Linked DNA regions of Macaca mulatta. The protein of the gene in region 1 interacts with the protein of each later gene in a pairwise test. Links are inferred from orthologs where the notes say so. Each region holds a gene or a part of one and is shown in the gene's direction. Other genes may lie near its edges.

Region 1 (4,319 bases):
GTGAGGGTTCCTAACCAGTCGCTGTTATCACCGAGCACATTGTCCTCGTAATCCAGAATTCAAACTGGCATTTGAATATTTTGCGTATTTGCAAAGAAAATTTTAACTACTTAACTCAGGCTAGAAATAAAAGCAATTAGTGATTGCAAGAGAAATCCACCGGCAGAAGGCAGAGGGAGACGACTTAAGCCTCTGATTATTTTTGGAAGCTTTATATGCTTTCTAGCCTTTGTCATTGAATGGATTAATGTATGTGCCTGGCACAGAGTAAGCGCTTTGCTTGTTAAACTGCCCGCGGGTCACAGCGAGCAAACTGGGGGAGCGCCCAGGGACAGTAGATGGAGTGAGTGCAGGCCCGCGTCCTTTTAAGAAGCGGCTCCATTTCTTCCTCGCATGTCAATGTGTGCGTGTCATCAGTTGTTCGAGGAAGCTCGCGCATGACGCGACACTTGCCGTCTGGGCTCTCCAGGTTCGGCGTGGCGCGTTCACAGCCCAGATCTTCGGCGTCCCAGAGACGCAGCCCGGCGCCCGGCCCGGCCCTCCGCAGAGCCCCACTTCAGGCCGCGCCGTTTCCTTGACCTTCCCCCGGTGGGGTCTGAAGCGTCACGGCCCGTCTAGAGCGGAGTCACGCAGGCCCCTGCCCGGCCCGGTGAGGTCGGCGCCGCGCTCGGGAGAGTCGGTTCCTTCCGATTCAGACCCATCTGGCTGCAGATGGAACCATCATTTGTGTTCCGTAATGACCGGCTTGCAAGGTAGCAAAGGGAAACAAATGTCTGGTTTTCAGCCTCTCCCCGCCACCTTGAAATAAAACCGGCAAAAATAAAAAGAGCATTCTGGGAAGTACTTCATCATTTCAACGCTCACGAATTCAAAACATAAACAAAGGGTTCCCGGGGTCCGGGCCAGGGGCGCGGGGCGCGCGGCGGGCCCGGGGCAGGTGAGCGCAGGTGCGCGCCCGCCCCCCCACCCCGGGTACCCCCGGCTCCCTCCCCACCCGCTCCCCGCTCCCCGCTCCCCTTTCCCTTCCCCGCCCGCTCCCCGCCGCCGCCGCCGCCCCGCGCACGGCCTGGAGCGGAGGCTGCGCAGGGCGCGGGGCGGCGCGGGCCGGGCGCGGGCCGGGCGGACGGCCGCGTCTTTCTTCTCCTGGCGGTGATGTCATTGGGCGACGGCGGCCGAGGCCGGGGGGCGGCGGCGGGGGCGGCGGCGGGCGCCCGCAGGTTCCCGAGCCGCTCCTGAGAAAGCGCCTGACAGCGGGCCGGGGCGCACGGAGGAGCGGGCCGGGCCGGACCTGCTGGGCCGCGCCGAGCCAATCGCCGGCGCCGGCCGCTCCATGGGCGAGGAGGCGGCGGCGGCGGGGGCGGTGGGGGCCGCGGGCCGGGCCGCCGCTCCGAGGTGAAAGCGCGCGCCCCTCCCCGCCTGCCTCCCGGGCCGCAGCGATGAATTCCGCGGAGCAGACCGTTACGTGGCTCATCACCCTGGGGGTGCTGGAGTCGCCCAAAAAAACCATCTCGGACCCGGAGGGCTTTCTGCAGGCGTCGCTGAAGGATGGGGTGGTCCTCTGCAGGCTGCTGGAGCGCCTGCTCCCCGGGACCATCGAGAAAGTAAGTCCCGGCCCGCGCCCCCGCCCGCGCCCCCCGGTCCGGCCCGCTGCGGCCCGGGATGCGCGCGGAGCACCTGGGGCCGGCCGCGCTCGGGGAACCCGTGCGCCCTCCTTTGTACGCGGAGCGGCGGTACGGCCGGCGCCAGGACCGTGGCGGGAGCTCGGGGGGCGCCATTGTGTGCGGGGCAGGGGGAGGGGCGGCGCGGGCGGGGGGTCCCCGGGAAGGAGAGTGCCCCGCGGCGAGGAGACGGGGCTGCTGCGCCGCCCGAACGCTAAGTTGCCCCTCCGCGTGGGGGGCCGGCCCCGCTTCTTGGCAGCAGCCTGATCGGAAGCCGCGTTCCGACGCCGTGCGGCTCCCTCCGCTGGCTTTGTGTGGACAGTTCTTGCCGGCGGCGTTGCGTGAGTTTCGCCTCCCAGGTTAATTGACCGGTTGCTCTGTGTTTTTTAAGATGCACGCATCTGTAGCTGAGGGCTGCGCTCTGAAATGATCTACTACTTTCCCCCTCGAGAAAATTCCCCACCTATCCGAGCCGAGAGGACGGCGGACACAGGGTCTAAGCCCTGGCACTCTTCAAGGCTTGTTTGAAATTCTAGATTTCCTTCTCAGGTCCCTCCCTGGTTCTGAACAGAACCTTTAGTCCTGCAGGCACTGCCTCTCCCTTCCGGCTGGTGGTTCCCAGGCTGGAGCGTGTGAACCCTGACCCGAATCTCTGGAAGTGATTAAAGTTTGTTTTCATCGCCCACAAGCCGGCCAGCAGGGCCGAGGACCCAGGAGAGCTGCTAAAAACCATGTCTCCCTGTAGCTCAAAATACTAACATCTTATTCTCAGGGTGTTTTCTCGGGGAGTGGGGTGGAGGTGGGGGTGGCCAAGATATAGCGTTAAGATCAACAGTTATTTAAAAGGTGTGAAATGTAGAAACTGAAGTGTATCATAATTAGGAAGAAGGATTTCAGTTTTTAAGTGGGGTGTATTGGCCCCCATACAGGAAGACAACTTATAAACAAAATGCCACGTAAGTGACTTGAAAAAGTAAAATGTTTAATCTTATTCATACACATGCACATATTCTGGTGCTGCATTTTAAATGAGGTCAGAAAACATTTAATATGAATTTGGCTTGCGTTCCAGTTTTAGGTATTTTTCTTACTTGGAACATCTTTATGAAAACGGAATCTGCATATTAGAGTGAATGGCTGCCTGCCTGTCCATGAAATAAAAATGTTCCTTAGAAATGAACCTGATGTCACAGTGAAATTACGATTTAAGACAGGAGGACTAAGGAGCAGGATCTGACTTTCAAGGCATTCAAAATACTTTGCTGTTTGGATACTGGTACCTCTGGTAATAAAAGACAGATGTTGAGAAGTGTTGAAATACATGCAAAGTTCACCAAAATAGGCTTAAATAAAATTCTCTTCTATCTCCAAGAGCAAAGTTTTAAGAAACGTCATATGCTGTGTTGATAAAAACGTGTCGCCATCAAAGAATACGTTGTTTGGCATATTAACTGCATTAATATTGATTGGCAGACTTAAATAATCATCTTTTAAATTATAGAAAGATTTTCCTACAAAATGGTAGCATTCATTTCATCTCTAAAACAACAAAGAGAAGAACGAATAAAATGTTGAGCTTGCAGAAGCCAAGTTGAAACAACTCAACATATTCTAAAACTACAGTCATTTGGAAATTTCTTAGGTCAAAGCTGTTTTTCATTCCCCCTGAGCTGTAGTTGGTTTGTTTTAAACTGACTCTGTCACAATGAAAGTTTAATGTCAAGGTAGCATATTGTAGACACAGTTACTGGTTCTCTGGAGTTCAAAGGTAGGTTTTTGGAGTAAAATATTAGCCATTCTCTGCCTCTGAGAGCCCTGCGTTTCAGAAGTTTTGTGAGCTTTTTCCATTTCCCAGGCAGAGTTATCTGGCCGGCCGGTCTTCCTTCCTTCCTTCCTTCCTTTCTTTTTTCCTTTCTTTTTCTTCCTTTCTTCCTTTCTTTCCTTTCTTTCTTTCCTTTCTTTCTATGGGTTCTTGGTATGTTGGCCAGGCTGGTCTTGAACTCCTGGCCTCAAGGGATTGTCCCATCTCGGCCTCCCCAGGTGTTGGGATTACAGGCGTGAGCCACCACGCCCAGCCAATTATCTGGGTTTTTGGTGTTTTCATGCTTACCAGATAATTTATGCCACGAAGCACACAAGCTGAATAACTTTTACTGAAATGTGGGAATGTGAGTCTGAGGATGTTTTTTCCTTAAAAAGAAGCATTTGGAAACTTAACTGAATATTCATGTGGACATGACAGGGGCTTCACTTGACCTCTGCTGCAGGAGTGCCCTGACAGCCAGTGAGTGGAGGGCAAGTGGTCTGCAGCCTTCGCCTCTGCAGTCTCACAACCTGGCATGGGCCATGAGGCTGGGGATGAGGGCAGAACTAAGAAACGTGGCTGGGTGCCTTGGGCTTCCCATATGTCTTTTATTAAGAAACCATGTCCTAATGTGTTTCTTCCATTACGCTCATTTGTTCTGTTTCAGAGTTAGGAAGAGGGTGGAGGGAGCAGAGAGGACGTTCACAGAGTGTCAGATTCTTCTGCTCATTTAAAGGAAACTTTCCACCCAGGTTCCCGCTTTGCTTTCAAGGTGGAAGGTTAGACGGTGAGAAGATGGAATTATAAACTACATGAACAGTTCAGAAAAGAGACGCTTTTCATTATACTGGACAGAT
Region 2 (4,280 bases), on another chromosome or scaffold:
ACCACTGAAATCTTGGAGGATTGTTCTTAACCCTAGTAGATGAAGAGCAAATATCTGCCTTTGGTGCAGGTCAGCTCTGTACATCCAATCCATTGGTAAGCCACGTGAGGAATTAAGTGTCGTTCTCCCTGTTGAGCTTCCAGGCTTGCCATATTCTCCAAGAACTACACACTGAAGTTGCAGAAAGCATATAATAGACGACATAGCTTCAGCTATTTAAGTTCCAATTTTAAAAGTACTTTACATAATCTAAAGGTACATGTATAAGACCATTCAGCTTCAGCAATAAATAAAGTCTTACTCTAGTGAAAATGCAGGAAGTTTTGGGGAAATATTACCTAGCACATTTTGAAATAGAAGCAATGCTTTATTTCAGAGAAGAAAATGCAGATTGAAAGGTTTTAAAATATTAAAGACAGTTTAGCATCAATTGAAGAAATAACATTTTCTAGAAACAACAGAGAATAAAAGTTACAATAATATTATCAACAACTTGCAAATGATTCAAAACAGATTTTATGGCCAAAATGCTGAAAGTTGGGCCCTATACACCAAAGGGCACATACAAATGCATATAAAGGCAAAGCACCAGTTAAATGATTCACAGTCTCATGTAAAGCCCATCAAATAGATAAATCTGGAAAATCTTTGGATGTACATTGTGACTTTTGTATCTCAACTAGCACTTTGGGACCTTGGACAAGGTGTTAGGAAAGAAATCAATATTTACTCAGGACCAAGACTTTCAAGATGACTGCGTGAGGTAGAAGGAAGAGGGAGAAGAAGAACTTGCCCAAAGTTCACTGTTAATCTACTATGTCCGATTCTGTGGGAGTCTTCATGGCCATGTTCAGTAATGATTGCATACTGACAGTACTGATAAAACCATCAGTGTTTTGTTCTCAGAGCTTTTGATCCTTTCATTTTGTTAGTATGTTTTTGCCCTACATGATGGGTCCACATACCGACAGAGACATGTACAACTTGCCTCTATCATCAACTCCTTACCGGCTAGTTGAGCTAAGTTATTCCTGGTGGCCTCTGAGTAAACTGCAAGAACAGAAGCATTACTAAGCATCCCTGTCTGAGTGCAAGGGTGTGTGTTGGCAGTACAGCCCCAATCTTGCAAAATCCTTCTTCCAATGTTCCTTCCCGCTCTGTATGAACCCTGTGTTGGGGGGCAGGAGATGGAAGCCCTTGGCAAGCTCGATTGAACTAAGCTACTAAATTGCTGAGCTCGTTTTAGTTGAAGTGTGAGAAGGAGGTTTAAGGCAAGTAGACAACATCCTGTTGTTTGGGTGCTTCTCTCTTTTTTGCACATCTGGCTGAACTGGGAGTCAGGTGGTTGACTTGTGCCTGGCTGCAGTAGCAGTGGCATCTCCCTTGTACAGTTCTCCTCCTCGGCCTGCCCAAGAGTCCACCAGGTCATGGACGCAGTGGCTGTGTATCATGGCAAAATCAGCAGGGAAACAGGCGAGAAGCTCCTGCTTGCCACTGGGCTGGATGGCAGCTATTTGCTGAGGGACAGCGAGAGCGTGCCAGGAGTGTACTGCCTGTGTGTGCTGTGAGTATGATACAGTGGGCATGGGCCTGCTGAGGGTGTGGGCGGTGGGCAGCGGCAGCTGGGGCCAGGGTGGAGGCCGAGGCAGGCAGGGGCGCCGGCATTAGCAGCTCGCCGACGACGCCTCCATGGTCCGCCCTCAAGTCCAGCCCAGGGCCGTGGTGAAACACACTTTCGCCTGAGTCCCTCGCTGGGGATTTCATTCCCTGGGCCACCTGCTCTCCAGAAGGCCCTCACCAGAGCCTTTTGGGGCAGCCGCAGAGAATACCCTTTCGGGTGCTGAAATGTGGTCTAGAGTTTACCTTCGCTCCAGGAAAGACCCAGGCTCCCCACTTCTATTTTGAACCCTATCGGGTGGTGCCCTGGGAGCCTTACTCTAGCTCTCTTTAAACGACTTTTGAAGTGTCATCCCAAAGGAAGGGCATGACATTCAGGGAGAGGAGACACATTAAGAAACAGAGTCAATTACTTTAAGAATGCAATGCCAGTAAAGTCGAGATGCTGAGAGAGGAGGGGGATGTGTATGAGTAAAATCACCTCTCTGGATCTGCTGATGTAGCATCCTTTAGAAAAGTAGTGGGGGGTGGGGAGGGGCAGGGGATTTCAGAAATAGGACCCTTCTTGATAAACGTTAGGACTCACAATAGTCTTAAAGGGAATGGAGGGAAAACACCCTTGTTATGATTCAGCTTTGCCATTTGCCTAGGCATGTCTCAGTCTAAGGCTTCATTTTGAATCAAATTCATCTGCGTCTTTGCTCCAGGGCTCCGGAGTCAGGCAGATCTGAGACTTTCTCCTGTGCTAGTCAGATGTTAGGCTTGTGACCTGGGCAAATTAACCTCTCAGTCCCCCAGTTTTCTTATCCATTGAATAGGTATCATATTACTGCCTACCTCATAGGATTGTAAGATTAAGTGCTATAATGCAGTAAAAAAATTAGCACTGGGGCCTGACACCTAGTAAATGTTCAATAAATGTAAGCTATTGGTATTGTCATTATACCAAAAATATATTGTTATTTTATCTTCTCTTTTCAGTTGATTTCTTTTAGGAATCATGGGGGCATTTCTAAGGAAGGACCTAGCTCAAGCATTATTGTCAGCAGGATAAAAAAAATCCATGAAAACAGCAGCCCTGCATAGTAGGTTCTAGACAGAAACCAAATGAGGTTAAATGCTTGGTAGTAAGTTCAGCATCTGATGATACCCCACAAGAGTTTGAAATACCTTATGGGTCAGTGAAGAAAGATTATCCTGATGCTGGTGCTAGAGGATTTTCACTGTATATTGGTTTTCAAAAATGGTCAAGCCTTGTTTGTGGCAGCTCTCAGGTCATGCTAAATACATTTTTCATAAAGGCTTCCAGGGAAATACGTGGAAGTTATTGAATGTCTTGGGCTTGAATCTTTATGTTTTGCTTATATAATTATGTTCCCGTGTGGAACCTAGGGAAGGGCAATGAAAATCAGCTAGGATTCTTAGGCTCTTTTCTCATTGAGAGAAGGTGGAGTGAGTGGGTGGGTGAAAGGCGCTGCTTTAGGGAAACTGACAAAGGAGATAATGTGCTCCTTAACCCAAAGGTGAAAAAGAACATACAAAACAAGTCTGGGCAGGGGAGGGACAACAGGGTATAGTGAGAGGCAAGATACACCTAAGACTTCAGCCTCACCAGGCTCCTGGCCGTTTCTCAAGCTCCTCAAAAATGCCCCCACTTAGGATTTCTGTGCTTATTGTTCCTTCTGCCAAAAATACCTTCAGTTCACATGTTTGTTCAACTGCCTCCTCCCTCAGAGAGGACTTGCTTGGCCACCTATCTAGAACAAGTGCCCTCTCTCTGTCCCTGATACACTCACTCCATCTCTTTATTTTTGTTCAAAGAGCTTTAAACTATTTGATAATTTGCCTGTTTACCTACTTATTGCTGGGCTGTCCTGCAAAAATATAATCTCCATGAGGACGGAGACATTGTCTCCATCACCAGGAACACAGGAACACATAATAGGCACTCAGCAGATATTTTTGAATTAACAAACTGTTAAGGCAAATTCTATTCTTTACTGCAAGAAAAGGAATGAACATCGAGAGGTTAGGGTGTGGACCCTGGGAAAGTCACTCAAATTCTCTGGGCCTCAGTTTCCATATTTATAAAACAGGAATAGTAATGTGTATCCTACCTTCTGCAAAAGATTGCCTTAAGTACCATATACAAGAGAGAAGGACAACTTTAGCCTTTTTCCTATGTGGGCCAGAACCACATGAGGAATTAACTTAGGCAGGTGAGAAATTCTCAAGCATTTAAGTTTTTGCCCAAAGTGAATCTTGCATAAATGCTTTTTTTATGACTCTCAGTTCTCCATGAAAACTGCCTTGTGAAGTAGCGGAAAATACTAGACAAATTGGGAGTTCCCTTACGGTGTCTTTCAAATGGTACACTGGGGACTCAAAGTCTTATGAGACTGTTTGGGTGATAGCCAGAATGTACTGCAGAGGGAAGATATAAGGATACATTGCCTTTTATCAGTTTCTCAACGTTTTTGAGTTGAGTGTCCCTTTTGACAAATGTAAAAAATTCATTCCCTCTTTTTGGTGCTACACTGTAATTATAAAATCAAATTTTATTTAGAAATAAACCATGTACTCATTTTAAACCAAAACACTTATGCTTATGATATGTAGTCGAAATAACAATATAAATGGTGTCACGTACACATGGACAACAA
Region 3 (4,323 bases), on another chromosome or scaffold:
CCACTCCTTCCGTCTCACTCCCCCCGCCCCTTACCCCCTTCCCACTGGGGCCACCAAAGCCCATGGATTCTTTGGTGAGAGAGCAGCTCGGGGCGGCAGGTAGTACTCCTCCCTACATAGCAGCTAGGTATCGTTGCTTGCAAAAGCCCCACCAGCTGAGCGGCTGGCTGTCTGGGGAGGGGAGGCCTGAAAGATTTTTTTAAGGTGCAATTATAAATAAAGCCCATGGATCGCGATTTCAAACAAACTTGTCAATCCGGGCCGCAGCAAAAGGCGATGGAGGCAGCTTTGCATGTATTTCGGGTGGTGTGACTCATGAGAATTACTTGTCTCCCCTAGGGAAGGAGCCTGCCCACCCACAAGTCACTGCCGCTCTGGCACCGCTGGGATAAATCGACCAACTTGAGCACCCCTGCCAAAGGACTGCCCCCATCTGTTACCGAGCAGGAGTCTCTGACTTCGATAACCCCTCCTCAATTGTCACCACTGACCTGGCCCCCAGGTCTGGCCCTGGGGACCTCTGCCCTCTCCCCACAAGCAGAGTGCCCGGGCCTTTTGCTGCTGCAGGGATTGGGGGTTGGGTGCACGCGCGGCACACGTGTATGGGGGAGCATGCTCAGTGCGGGGGCTGTGCTCATGTGAGGCCTCCAACTAGGCTCCCTGCCCCCCAGCCCACCCACGTCCCTCACCTGCCTTGCCTTTGCCTGCCTCTTCGTGTGAAGTCCAGGAAGAAAGGCTGTCACCTGAAACGGCCCCTCTGTGTTATATGCACCCTTTCTGGACGCACACACCTCTGGTGGCCCAGAAACACCGTGTGTATAAGGCGGATGACAAGTGGATTTGAGTGCACACAGGCACAGTGGTCACTCCTTGGGAGGTCTTTAAAAACCGCCCAGATTCCTCTCTGGATGGAAGCATGCATGGAGAGATAGATATATTTTTAGTCCAGAGGCAGGGGAATACACTGCCTGACCTTTCTAGCACCTGGGCGTCCATATTGTTGGCAATGAGCGTATTCAGCAAGAGTGTGACACACGCACACACACCTGGACACACAGATGTGGACACCTACAGGACCGGGAGGCACACCTCACCCCAACCAGAGATAGAAGGGTACCCCAAGGCACAGCCCCTTTGACCTGGAGCGGGACTTGGGCCTCCAAGTCCTTCCTGCCTAATCCCCGCCCTCGCCATCCCTGGGCCCAGCGTCCCCCGGGCCACCCCACGCGGAAAGTGAAGGGGAGGGGGCTGTGAGGGTGACTCACATTGCCTCCGGGCCAGGCGAGCGCCGCAGCGGAGGCCAGGACCGCAGGCCCCGCTGCCCGCCGGGGCCGGGCATTAGCCGCGGCCCCTTTAAGCGCCCCCGCCCCCTCCCGCCCGCGCCCGGGCTTCCTTTCTCCAGGGGGCGCGGCCGGGAGCGCGCGGCGGGGCGGGGGTGCGGCCCCTCCCCTGGTGGGCAGGGCCTGCGCCGCTTCCTGCAGGAGCGGCCCGGAGCCGCGCAGGGGGCGGAGAGAGGAGTCGCGAGCGGCGGCGGGGCGGCGTGGGGCGGAGGGCGCCCGAGGGCGAGCGGGCAGGCGGGCACGGCGGGTTCCGGGCCAGCCCCGGGGCGGACGGTTGGCCGGGCGCGCGGAGCCTCGCCGGGGCCTCGCCGGAGCCGGGCCGGGCAGCAGGGGCCGCCGCCGCCGCCCGGGCCCGCCGCCCGCGCCCCCCACGCTGGCCCAGAGGGCTGCGGCCGCGTCGCCGCTGAGGATGTCCCGAAAGGGGCCGCGAGCGGAGGTGTGTGCGGACTGCAGCGCCCCGGGTAAGCGCGGCGGGGCCGGGGGCGGGACCGCACAGCCAGGCCGCCGCCGGGCGGGCGCCGGGGCCTGGCGAGAGCGCCGTGCGGGGCCGGAGGGCTGGGCTGGGCTGGGCTGGGCGGGGCGGGGGGCTGCGGCCTCCGGGCTCGGCCCCCGCCCCGGCCACTGCGGAGCCGCGTCCTTGGCGGGAGGGCTGTCCTGGGGGGCCCATGCTCCCTGGAGGCGGTGGACGAGCGAGGAAGGACGTTCCCGGCGCTGCCTCCCGCCCCTCGGTCTGAGGGAGGCGGGCAGCTGGCTGCCCCTCCACCTCCATCTCTATCCGACGGAAGCGCCAGCCTGGGGTGGCAGGAGGGCAGTGGCGGAGGCCGGCAGGGCTTGGGAGGTGGGGGCGAGTGTGGTTTTGTGTCATCTCAGTGCCACCCCCGCGTCTTGCACCTGCTGCTCGCGTGGTCGGCACGCCTGCCGGGGTGGTGGAGGGCAAGGAGCAGAGGGCCGGGCAGATGCGCCAGCGGGGCCTGGATACCGTCTCCTCAGGAGCAGATGAGCAGTGGCTACTCCCAGGACTCCCTGCCGCGGGTTCCTAAGGCTAGCGCTTTTTTGCGGGGCCTGGCGTTCAGGGCCAGTTCAGACCCGGGTGTCTTATCGGGAGGCATCACCAGGCCTGCTGGTGGTGACTGGGAACAGCTCGGCTGGACCCTGCTGTTCCTATTCACCGTAAGGCCCGCTTGGGAAAGTGAGCTTGGCATCAAGCTATCCTGGGCCCCGGCCCCTCCCTGTCCCCTAGCCCAGTCTGGCGAGAAATGGGTGGGAGGCAATGCCTAGATTCCCCGCATCCTGCTGGCTTCCTAGCCTGCCTCCTGGCTGTATTTACATGGTGGTTCTCTTCTTTTTCCTAACAGAGTCAGGACTGGGCTGGAGTGAAACCCCCCAGGCCTGCTGAGGAAGTCAGGGGTAATGATCCAAGAGTCTGCTCCCTTCTGATGGGGGAGGACAGCCAGTGACTGGGCTCTGCAGCTGGCCTGGGAAGGAAGCTCTAGCCCCCATCCATTCTTTCTTTAGAAAAGGAGCTATCTCCCTAGTAGGCCCCTGGGCAGGCTTCGGAGGTCTGTGAACTCTAGCGGGGCTGTGGGCATTATTAAGAGTGAGATTATGGGGTGCTGGTTTGTGGGTCCATAACTTTCAGCCACCCCTTGAGCAAGCCCAGGACCCCACAGGTTGAGCCTCACAGATGCTCTGGTGGTTCTGGGGGTGGTGCCAAGCTAGACGGTTTGGGAACTGTGACCCAGCAGGGCTTGGGCACAAGATACTCTCCTCCTTGGGGCTTTTGGTTTAGAGGGCCCTGGGGTTGAGGGTCCATACCCCTAAGAAACTATGACTCCCTTCCCCCAGCTGCAGGCAGGTCTGGGGATGGCAGGGCTGAGGACACACCTTGCCTTATAAATGTCTGCCCACTGTTCCGCACCTCCATGGGGTGAGCATGGCATGCATGTGGAGGAGAGGCTTAGCAGGCACCCTATCGGGGAAGCCTGGGGCATAGTGTTGCCTTTGTTCCCAGCTTACTCTGTAACCCCAAAAAGACTTTCCTCACTGTGGGGGCCTCAGTTTCCTCAATTAGGAGGCAAAGAAATTGGAGTAGAAATGGTTTCTGGGGGGGCTGTGATCTGATTCTGGGGTGGAGGGGTGAAGGGCAGCACCAGCAAGGCAGCAAGGCAGTTGTCCTTTCTCTGTTGCATTGAATGTCATCCAAAGCCTCTGGATGCCCAGTGGGCTCAGGGAGGAATGGTGGGCATCAGATGTGTTGGATTGCCCAGCTCCTACTCCTAGGTCCTCATCCGTCAGAGGAATTTGTGCCCCAGATGACTCTTTTCCCCTGATACACAATAGAGGTCAGGAAGATGGTGAGAAGGTGAGGATGGTGGGGTGGGGAGGATATGGACAGTCTTACACATCAGCCCACCTAGCACCCAGCGAAGTGTCCAGCACATGGCAGGCGCTCCCTGAGTGTCTGGCTTCTTGTCGGGACCCTGGCTGGCTGCTTGGGACTATCCCACACCTGGACCCTAGGATGCTGGCCCTGGCATGCAGCGACGTGTTTGGTCTGGGTCCTGTGGCATCTCAGGCAGAGAGGCATGAGGGTACCCAGCAGTCTGGAGTCCAGATCCAGTGCCAGCCCCATGGTGTATCGCTCCACCCCAGGGTCACAGCTTTCTTTTATTGTGATAGGAGCCCTGCAGTCCCAGCCACAGGAGTGGGGCCAGGGACTTTTTGTGCTTGGTTAATTTGAGGAGTCATGGAGGTCAGAGGTGAGATGCAGCCTGCCCCCAGAGAGCCCCATCCTCCCTCTGCTCCCGGGCCTGGGCACCCGGGACAAGTGCGAGTGTGTTGGTAGGCAACTGGACATGGCGTGGCTGCTCTGGCAGCTTGTGCCACCTCGTCAGGCACCGTGTGCATTCCTGCCTGCCTGGGGCGTCCAAGAGAGGAAGGGGGCAGGGAGCCCTGGAGAATGTGCATTTTCCCCTTTCCTTTG

The links.
Region 2: the proteins of ARHGEF7 (region 1) and SH2D1A interact in binary tests that used the Homo sapiens proteins (3 or more experiments, as listed by UniProt). The link is inferred for Macaca mulatta from reciprocal best matches to the Homo sapiens genes ARHGEF7 and SH2D1A.
Region 3: the proteins of ARHGEF7 (region 1) and GIT1 interact in binary tests that used the Homo sapiens proteins (3 or more experiments, as listed by UniProt). The link is inferred for Macaca mulatta from reciprocal best matches to the Homo sapiens genes ARHGEF7 and GIT1.

Annotation. Positions count from the first base shown.
Region 1 is NC_133422.1:105,476,178-105,480,496, forward strand, and holds the start of ARHGEF7 (rho guanine nucleotide exchange factor 7), read left to right. Parts: upstream 1-1,299; 5' UTR 1,300-1,436; coding exon 1,437-1,601; intron 1,602-4,319. UniProt on the Homo sapiens protein: Acts as a RAC1 guanine nucleotide exchange factor (GEF) and can induce membrane ruffling. Functions in cell migration, attachment and cell spreading. Promotes targeting of RAC1 to focal adhesions. May function as a positive regulator of apoptosis.
Region 2 is NC_133426.1:130,790,758-130,795,037, forward strand, and holds the start of SH2D1A (SH2 domain-containing protein 1A), read left to right. Parts: upstream 1-1,427; coding exon 1,428-1,564; intron 1,565-4,280.
Region 3 is NC_133421.1:38,328,560-38,332,882, reverse strand, and holds the start of GIT1 (ARF GTPase-activating protein GIT1), read left to right. Parts: upstream 1-1,470; 5' UTR 1,471-1,517; exon of another isoform or gene 1,518-1,670; 5' UTR 1,671-1,749; coding exon 1,750-1,801; intron 1,802-4,323. UniProt on the Homo sapiens protein: GTPase-activating protein for ADP ribosylation factor family members, including ARF1.